2 linked regions of the Daphnia pulex genome follow. The protein of the gene in region 2 interacts with the protein of the main gene of each other region in a pairwise test. Links are inferred from orthologs where the notes say so. Each region holds a gene or a part of one and is shown on either strand. Other genes may lie near its edges.

Evidence for each region.
Region 1: the proteins of transcription initiation factor IIA subunit 1-like (region 2) and histone H4 transcription factor-like interact in a two-hybrid assay, tested with the Drosophila melanogaster proteins (2 studies listed by BioGRID). The link is inferred for Daphnia pulex from reciprocal best matches to the Drosophila melanogaster genes TfIIA-L and Hinfp.

The regions. Positions count from the first base shown.
Region 1 is NC_060027.1:4,352,165-4,356,421, forward strand, and holds histone H4 transcription factor-like, read left to right. Parts: upstream 1-1,269; 5' UTR 1,270-1,519; coding exon 1,520-2,171; intron 2,172-2,237; coding exon 2,238-2,533; intron 2,534-2,597; coding exon 2,598-2,791; intron 2,792-2,851; coding exon 2,852-2,927; 3' UTR 2,928-3,088; downstream 3,089-4,257. Other genes in the region: PAX3- and PAX7-binding protein 1-like, read right to left, coding at 1-283, 440-968; uncharacterized protein LOC124207603, read right to left, coding at 3,319-3,467, 3,554-3,749.
Region 2 is NC_060018.1:12,589,811-12,594,880, reverse strand, and holds transcription initiation factor IIA subunit 1-like, read right to left. Parts: upstream 3,192-5,070; 5' UTR 3,069-3,191; coding exon 3,045-3,068; intron 2,901-3,044; coding exon 2,711-2,900; intron 2,668-2,710; coding exon 2,569-2,667; intron 2,498-2,568; coding exon 2,297-2,497; intron 2,225-2,296; coding exon 2,103-2,224; intron 2,024-2,102; coding exon 1,754-2,023; intron 1,684-1,753; coding exon 1,576-1,683; 3' UTR 1,194-1,575; downstream 1-1,193. Other genes in the region: serine/threonine-protein phosphatase 2A regulatory subunit B'' subunit gamma-like, read left to right, coding at 3,357-3,491, 3,547-3,651, 3,715-3,824, 3,885-4,053, 4,123-4,311, 4,374-4,510, 4,575-4,788, 4,853-4,980 and 1 more. UniProt on the Drosophila melanogaster protein: TFIIA is a component of the transcription machinery of RNA polymerase II and plays an important role in transcriptional activation. TFIIA in a complex with TBP mediates transcriptional activity.

The sequences.
Region 1 (4,257 bases), on a different chromosome or scaffold from region 2:
CGTTCGGCTGCTAAAAATGCTTCTCTTCTCTCTTGCTTGTCTTTGGTCAACAGATCAACAGCAAAACCCATTCTTCCATCTTCAGCCTCGTCTTCATCGCTCTTATCGTTTTCGTCTTCCCGCACGAGTCTCGCGGATGTGACTGATGAGGTCTGCTGGGAATCTTTTTCGTAGTCCGGCATTTCATCCACTTTAATGTAATCAGCCAGACCACCAAGCTCTCTAGCTTGTTGACGATGCTTTCTAGCCGCATGAATCATCGCTGCATCTGGGATGGCACCATCTGCAGAAAATTCCAATTTCAAAAATTATAACCTCTCCATGGTTAAAACGATAAAAATGAACCAAACAAAAAAAAAATCATTGATGAAAAAGAGAGATTCATTAGATCAGAGGAAAATTCAGCCCAAAATATTTTTAAAAAGTTTTCTTGCCCTACTTTCCAGGACATTCCTGAACGGGTCAGGTCGTCTAAATTTGACGCCCTCATCAGCACTCTCTTCTTCTGAATCTGATCGATATCCAGCCATCTCTGCTTCACGTCCACTCAGGATGAGGTTCTTTGGTTGTTCAGGTTTGGGTAGATGATTTTCAGGCTGTGTCTGTTTTTCTTCTTGAACAATTTCCACTGGTGGCTTCACAATGGTTTTCTGCTCCTGTTCCTTCAACTTCCGGTCCCTCTCCATTCGTTTAGCAATTCTTCTACTCTGGGAAGATTTCTTGATCTGGAATGTCTCGACCCCCTCATCTTCTTCCAAGTCTTCCTGAAAGCTAAGAATACTCGTCTTCTTTTTTATTTCCAACGAAGCTGCTTTTGGCGGTTTCCCCGATGGTTTGTTGTTGCCGGATGCCGAAGATGGGACACCATCGACCTTATTAATTGATTGTGCATGGTTATCTCCATCTTCTTCATCACTTGTTGCTGTTCTTTGACGCAAATTTTTCTTTGGTTTCTTAAATAGTGACATTTTAAAATATTCACGGTTTTTAAATCCAAGAGTACATTCACTTTTCAACAAGCGATTGAAAATTTTTCGTGGAAACGATTTCGACAGCCGACATTTAGATTTGGCGACATGGCGTTGCCAAATAGTTATAACAGAAAATTGGAACTAAAAATGTTTCAAGATTTAAAATTTATTGTGTTATTTTGTGATTAATTCAGTTTTTATTTATAAAATTTAATTTAACTTAATAATAAATTATTACAGGCTTTTTTACGCGAATTTCTAAAACTATTATTGAGAATGACAACTTCAACTTGTTTACATGGTGCTTGTACTTTTGTTTTGCTCAAGTCAAGTTGATCTCTCTTTCTCTCTTGTACTTTACATTGAAGTATTATGTAGTTTTTTTCATACATCGCTATCAGTTTTTTTTTCATTTTATTCTTGCTTTGTGCTGTGCGCACCCAAACATAGAAAACTTTCAAGTACGTTCTTTTAATAGATGAATGATTAGAAAAGTGCGATTCTATCTGCGCGGGAAAGTCTGATAACTGTTTCCCTTGCTTGTTAAAATGGCGCATAGGAAAGCTAAACGTCCAAGGCATGATCCTTCTCTTCTTCAAGATGAGCAACTTATCCTTATTTGTGACTGGGGAGGTTGTAGGCAGTTATACCAAAATATGGAACTTTTTTTGTCTCATGTAGCTGATCATGCCGGGCAAGTGGTTGTTGTCACCACAGGTGAAGAATCAACTATTACTTGTATTTGGGAAGACTGTGGATTTGAAACTTCTGATGATAAGGAAATTCTTCGGCACATATACTATCATGCTTATCATACGAAGATTAAATGTTTGGGTGCTAATCTTATTGAAAAACTGGCACTACAAGGATGTCAACTAGATCCTCAAACCAGGAATTCGGTGCCAGAGTTATCAGGATCCCTCATCTGCTGCTGGGATGACTGCAAACTAGAATTCCTCAATGTTCAACAGTTCTATTGGCATGTCCACACACACTCCATAACTAATGATGATGGCGAGAGAAAAGAGAAGAAATGCTTGTGGACAAATTGTAAGAGCAACTTTTCAAACAAATTCAAGCTCAGGGATCACCTAAAAAGTCATTCACAAGAAAGATCCTTAGCCTGTCCAACCTGTGGCAGCCTGTTTGCCTCTCGTACCAAACTTCATGACCATTGTTTGAGGCAACTTCCTTTAGATGGTTGGTATTTTATTTCAAATCTGTAAACTTACACTAAATGATCATACTAACTGAATCTTTTTACAGCCAATGAATTCCGCTGTTCCGAATGCAACAAACTATTACCTACCGAACGTTTGTTGCGAGAGCACGTTCGATATCACCGTCTAGTCTACACATGCTCTCACTGCCCAATTGATGAAGAGGGAAAAGGTCGGAGCTTCCCCAACACCCACTCTTTAGCAACGCATATATCATATTGTCACAGTGATTCTCGACCATTTTCCTGTCCCGAAGACGATTGCAATTACAGTGCGAAATCGCAAACAGATTTGAGCAAACATCTTGAAGTTCACGCAAATACGCTGTGGTACTGTTGCGAAGTAAGTAGCATTTTGTTTGTTTGATGAAATCAACGTGAAATTTAATACCATGTTTATCTTGCAGGTGAGTGGGTGCGAGTTCACTGCTCGTAATTCGGCGACACTTCAGAAACATGTGCGCAAAATACACGAAGGAAATGTGGATCCATTGTACGAGTGTCACGTCTGTCAAGTTCGTTTTCAGGCATCTAACTCACTCAAAAATCATTTGGGAAACGCTCACCAAATCTTTCCCCTCGCTGGCAACTGTCGTTTCAAGTAAAGAGTGCATAAATTATATTAGTTTTCTTTTACGTAATCGAGTCATTGGTTTTTTAGGTACAAACAAGGACCGGATGGTCGTTTCCGAGCGGAGAACGGCGGCGGACCCCTTCAACCTCGAAATAGTTCCTAAAATGTCTTTCTATATTTGTTCCCTTATTTTCGCAAAGGCTGTTCCAAACGGGTTGTTAGTTGACTCTCACTTTGCGTAATAATCTAGACGTTTAATTACATGTATTTGTTCGATTTTACTTTCTCATATAAATGAAATAATGAAATACAAAGTTACACACATTTTCGATCGAATTATGGAAATTTCGAACTCACGCATGCCACCAAAATAATCAAATAGTCCGTCACGCATTTTGATTATTAATAACTGATAAAGGGAGAATTTTTAAAGGTTTCGGAGTTTTTTTAATGCACTTTTTGTTTCGTATTTTTTTTCGGAAATTGGGAGGAAGGATGAACAGGATCGGGTTTATATAGATAGTTTACTGTATTATTAAAATATTTAATTTAATTTATCCCTGCTGCTGGTTGTAGGTGTAGTAGATCCTCGAGTACTCTTGTGGATACTGTTGAGAGACCACATTCATAACTTTCATGGCCTGTTGGTGTTGTTGCGGAGAGCATCCAGGACACTGGCCCTTGATGAGTGCTGGTACCAGTTCTGCATAGAGAAATGAAACAATTTAGAAATTTGCGCCACTTTCGTTTACATGCATAATGAATTAAATTAGTTGTGATTGTACTTACGCCTCATAGTGCGTCCAATGTTGTCACAGGGTGACTCATTAAGAAGGCAATTAATCTGACGGCGCATGTAGCGCGGGTTACGGATGGCCGCTTCGACGGCTGCATTGCTGGCGGGTAACTGTGCCTGTGCTTGTCCAGCCAAGAAGAGAATAACGCAGACCAACGCTAGTTGCCATACCAGTTGTAAACGAGCCATTTTTTTCTGTTCAACTAGAAAGTTGGTAAAATTTCGCAGGTGAAATGTTCTTTTCTGGAATGGAGCGACCGCACCAAATAGGAAAAAGTCTTCAACGGCTGGTGGTGGTGGCTTGAGTACCGCTTTCTATAAAAATAACAGAAAAACATAAAAGAATAAGCACGAGTGAAAAATAACGATACACTTTTCGTGATTGGTTAGATTGGCACTTTTCTTGTGGCCGCTAATTTTATTTTTAGATTTAGAGCTGAGAACAGGTGAAAGCGTGTGGCTGTTAAGCGATAAACAAAACCCCTTTCTCCAATGAACTCGCGGTATACAGACAGTGTGTCGTTGTTTCCAACAGAGAATCTAAAATCGTCACAGCAGCTTTCACTGATCTGATTTTAATTATGTCACGTCGAAAACAAAAGACAATTCTTTTGGCAAAGTGAACTAGATCCTGTTCAGAAATCGCACAAGACCCAATTAAAATAAGATACCAGAATGTATAACGTGAGTTACATTC
Region 2 (5,070 bases):
AAGATTAATTGGACTTTTCACTTTTAAAGTTTCACATTTAAGAGATGCGAACTTTCGACCAAAGTTGCCACTGTAACTTGACTGATTGTATGTTTTTAAAACCATTTTTTCGTGCGATATAATTGACTCAACTTTTCGTGTCAAATCGGAACTATATGACCTGATTTAGATTTCATGGAATCAAAGGCAATTAATTGTCTAATTATACACGCACGGACGATCACCATAGCGACGTGAAATGGTTTTTTGTAAAACTGGTGAGTAGGTCTACTTGTTCTAATTAATGACTTAGGTTCTTCCATCATCACATTAAATAATAGTCATTATTTTAACCAAATTATTTCCATGATTTTTATAGTTTACAGGGTCCTTCCAATTGCTGGGGTATACGTGAACAAAGTTACATTTCGGCATGTGTTTTAAGCATGTGCGTGACTGGTTGGCCGTCTTTTGTCGTCACCACTTGAAAAACATGGAACCATCCATCCGGCTAGCTACAGGCAGCAGCAGCAGCCCCCCAACGACTGGGAGCGCTCATTAGGAACGGATGTTGTGACACGCGATTAAAAGCCATCCTGAATATACTGTAAACATTTCACTAGTTCATGTCATATCATTCACATGAAACATGTCCTCCCCTGTGACATCAACCATTTCAAAAAGAAATTTTTGAATTTATTTTCATGATAAGCAGATGGAAGAACGCCCCAGTCCGTCCTTGTTGAAACTTTTCCCCTCGTTTTTTTTTTAGTTTTGATAATGAGTCCAGCAGGTCGAATCCTAAGGTCCTGGCAACAGCAAAGTTCGTTTAGTTTTGTGCTGGTTGCCTTTTAACGGCTCTAGGAAACTTTTTGGCGGACGCCAACAACTCCTACCGCGCTGCTATCGTGTAGAAACTCCATTAACGTGTACCGAATCCAATAGTTGGATGAGCAATTCCCCGGTGATGACTGCAAACGGATGTAAGCTTTTGACCACTTGGTTATTTGCTTTCAAGTCCCCGTACGCTCGCCTGAATGACTTCCCATGTATACAACCTAATCTAGATTTCTTCCGACTAACATTGAAAATGTCCACCACCAACTGTATACGATTACAAGAATTTTTCGGTACCGTAATTAGTAACATTGTCCCCTGGGTCTTGGACTAGTTTTGGGTCACGTTATTAGAATCTTCTCGAAAACTAATTGCAATTCTTGGTAATTTGAACATATATTTTTCTTCTTCTTCTAAATATTCCTGAATCAAAAGGGGGCGACAACAGCTTCTGCAGCGAACAGGGAAAAGATGAGACAAAAAAAGAATTCGGAAAGTTTTGTGTGTTAACAAAAAAAGAGAAACGAAACAAAAGAAGCGAGGGAGGACAAACACGAATGGCTTTTGTTTCTTTGTCCCCAGGTATTTTTTCCTCTCCACCGCTCATCCAACACCCGACATGAAAAAAGAAATTCCGCACATGCACACGCACAGGCACACGAAAAATCCTTAAATTGAAAGCGAAATTCCTCCGGATTGTATTAAATGAAACATTATCTTGATTTTCCCCTAGTAGCGCAATTTCAACCTTGAATATTTTCACCACTCTGCATCACCGTTGGCCTTTTGAAAGACGTAATCGCGACCGTTAATGTTCATGATGCCGTCCTTGAGATGAAACTTCCACCTGTTTCGACTTCTCGTAATCTACAAATAGAAAAAAAAGTCATTTAAAACATTTCAATTCCAATTCGAATGCTAAAATTCAAATCCTTGCCTTGTCGTACTGGCACACGACGACGTTATCAGTTTCAAATAACACTGAGGGATCATCATCAGTCACATCGTCTTCAGAGTTGAGTGGCTCCTCGTCTGCGTTCTCTTCGTTGTCTGCGTCAATCTCCTCGTCGTCATGATCGTCCTCTTCTTCCACGTCGTCATCGTCATCATCTTCAACATCGTCGTCGTCGTCCGAAGAGTCTCCGGGTCCATCCAACTGTGTGACTCCTCCATTGTCAGTTCGCGATTGGCTCCGTGCAGCTGTCGACTACAAAGAAAAGTAATAATGCATTGTACACACATTATTATATACACTTTCGAGTGGATTCAATTTCAACCAATGGTACCTGCAACGCGTTATTAATGTGCTGCTGCAAGACAGTCGTGGCCATTTCAACTGGAAGAGAGAGAGCCGCCGTCACAGCCGGTGAACTCAGGATCGTTTGCAGCTGCGCTCCCGCTGCGCCACCTGTGACATTATTACAAATAGTAAAGAAATTAGATTGGAGCTAGTACGAACGAGATTCAATTGGGAAATAACCTTGAAGAGCATGAGCTGGAACGTGAACAGTGATGCTCTTGGCTGCTGTATGACCTGCTACTCCAGCCTGAGGAGGAACAGTGATTTGGACTGGCACCGTCCTTACTGTTGTCGTAGCAGGGGCTGCAGCTGCTGCTGTTGTTGCTGCACCTGTAGCTGCATTAGGGGTAGTCACTGGGGTTTGGGCTGCTGCTGCTGCTTTAGAGAAAATAAAAACAAACAAACAAAACAATTAATAATAATGCACTCAATGTAACAGTATACCCAACTACCTGGTTGCTTTGCCGTAGTGGCTGCCTGTTGAGGTGTAGAATTGTTCGCAGGAGCTGTAGAGCTAGCCTGCTGACCTGCTTTTGACGGCAAAGAAGACCCTTTTTTCATACATGATAAAGTCTCATAATCGATATTGGATACTTTGTTGCAGTTTGCTTTGGAGAGAAGTTTCAGCAGGATCGGTCACAGGGTCGATTGCTTTGCTGGACTGCAATTTGTTTTCCCAATTCTGCTTCAATTCGAGAAGTACAGCCTCATCGATTCCTTCGTCAAGAAACGCCTCTCGAACCCCGTTGATAACATCTTCAATAACGCCACGATACAGTTTCGACTACAAAAAAAGAAATATAAAAGTCCTTAATTAGACCAACGAGGAGTGAGATCGAGCTCGTGGAGTGGAATCGTCAATGCAACAACAGTTTCCAGGTACTATTCCCCATGAAATATTATCATAAAGTAAAAGGTAAATAAATACCACGAGTGCCTGATTGGCGGCCATTCTTTAACGAAATTGAATTTTATTTGATTTCAATTCCGGGAGGGCTTCGTTCAACAGGAAGCCGACATGAAAACTAAGACTGACGCGGCAATATATATCGAAATGCCCCCGATGGCAGCGCCACGAAGCGTGATTTTGGCTAAGCATAGCATCTAGCGGTCGAAAAAAACATTCTTTCTGCTAAAAGTAAAGCCGTTTGTTATCGTTTCGACACGTTTGAATCGAATGAACAAGAAACGTTTTTATTAGCGGCCTAAGTCTCAGTATTCGTTGATTTTCATCAACGAGATGGATGAAAAATCCGAGATTTTGGTTTTAAACGCCGAAGATGAAGATACCTTCCAAAAGTTGTATTCCGAAGGTCTCAAATATAGCAAGCAATGCTCGGAAGAAAGCATGCCAGTTCCAAAGTTCTATACCAAAGTAAGCATAACTTCCAATTGATTCCCTATAAATTTCTTATGTTTTTGTTACACAGCTTCCTAATCATGAAAACATGATTAGCCTTAAACTGAGAGAAGAAGCTAGAACAGCATTCCTTCAGAAGAAGAGCAAAGAACTCCTCGATAACAATGAACTGCAGGTTTGTTAATGTCATTGCCAGTGTTTGTGCTACTGGTAAATAAGATTTTCATCCTGTCTTTAGAATCTCTGGACTTTACTTGACAAAAATCACAGCCCTCCTGCTGGTTCTGAGCAGATGATCAATTATATTGATTTTCTCAAAGTAGGCAACATAGCTGGTCCAAAATATAAGTAAGACATGTAAATATTTGATTGGGAACACCAAGTTATTTTTTGAATTCCCCTATACAGAGCATTCTTTACACCAGATGTATTTGCAAGGCTATTGCAGAATGATATTCATGGCAGAATATCAACCATGGCAGTGTTCAATTACATCATGAGGAAAGTTTGGTTACAGCAAACTAGAATTGGTCTTTCATTATATGATGCCACAGGACAAGGTCTGCTTACTGAAATGGTGAACATCAGCAATATGTTTTTTGTTTTTGCAATATGTAATTTACTTATCTATTTTTGTTTTTCCCAGGATTTAGAGAACTACATAACTGAACTTATCCCAACATTGCCACAGTTAGAAGGGCTTGAAAAGTCATTCCATTCGTTTTACGTCTGTACCGCCGTACGCAAGTTCCTCTTTTTCCTAGATCCATTAAAGCTAGGCAAAGTCAGGATACAGGATATTCTCGCTTCTGGTTTTCTGGACGAACTTTTAGAGGTATTTAGTATATTCCTGATTCTTTTGTCATTCTTCTCGCTAAAAATATTATAATTCATCAGCTACGGGATGAAGAGCTGCCCAAAGATGCACAGGATTCAAACTGGTTTTCTGCGCCCTCCGCTCTGAGAGTCTACGGTCAATACTTAAATTTAGATACCAACAGAAACGGCATGCTTTGTCAGGAAGAGCTCAGACGGTAATTTACCATATTTCAATTTGCAGTACGTACATTTAAGATTTTTTTTAAATTTAATTTTCAGATTCGGAACTGGCACGTTGACGCGAGTTTTCATTCAACGAGTATTCGAGGAGTGCATGACCTATGAGAAAGAAATGGATTATAAAACGTACTTGGATTTCGTATTGGCCATGGACAATAAAAAGGAACCACAAGCACTTCAGTATTTTTTCCGTTTGTTGGACGTCAATCATCGAAACCATCTCAACACTTTTGACCTCCATTTTTACTTCAAAGTATTAATTTCCTCATTTGACCTTTTGACTTTCTTATCTTGAAAAAAAAAAAAATGCTTTGCAGGGGGTTCAAGAGTTGATGCAGCAGCACAAACAAGAAGTCGTTGCTTTTGACGACGTCAATGATGAGATTTTCGATATGGTGCGTCCTGCCGATCCGTCAAAAATCACTTTACATGATTTGATTAACTGGTAACACACAAAGTTCATTTAGAATTTTTTTAGAATAAGATTGTCATTGAACGTTTTCTGGCTCAGTGGATACGGTGAAACTGTGATCAA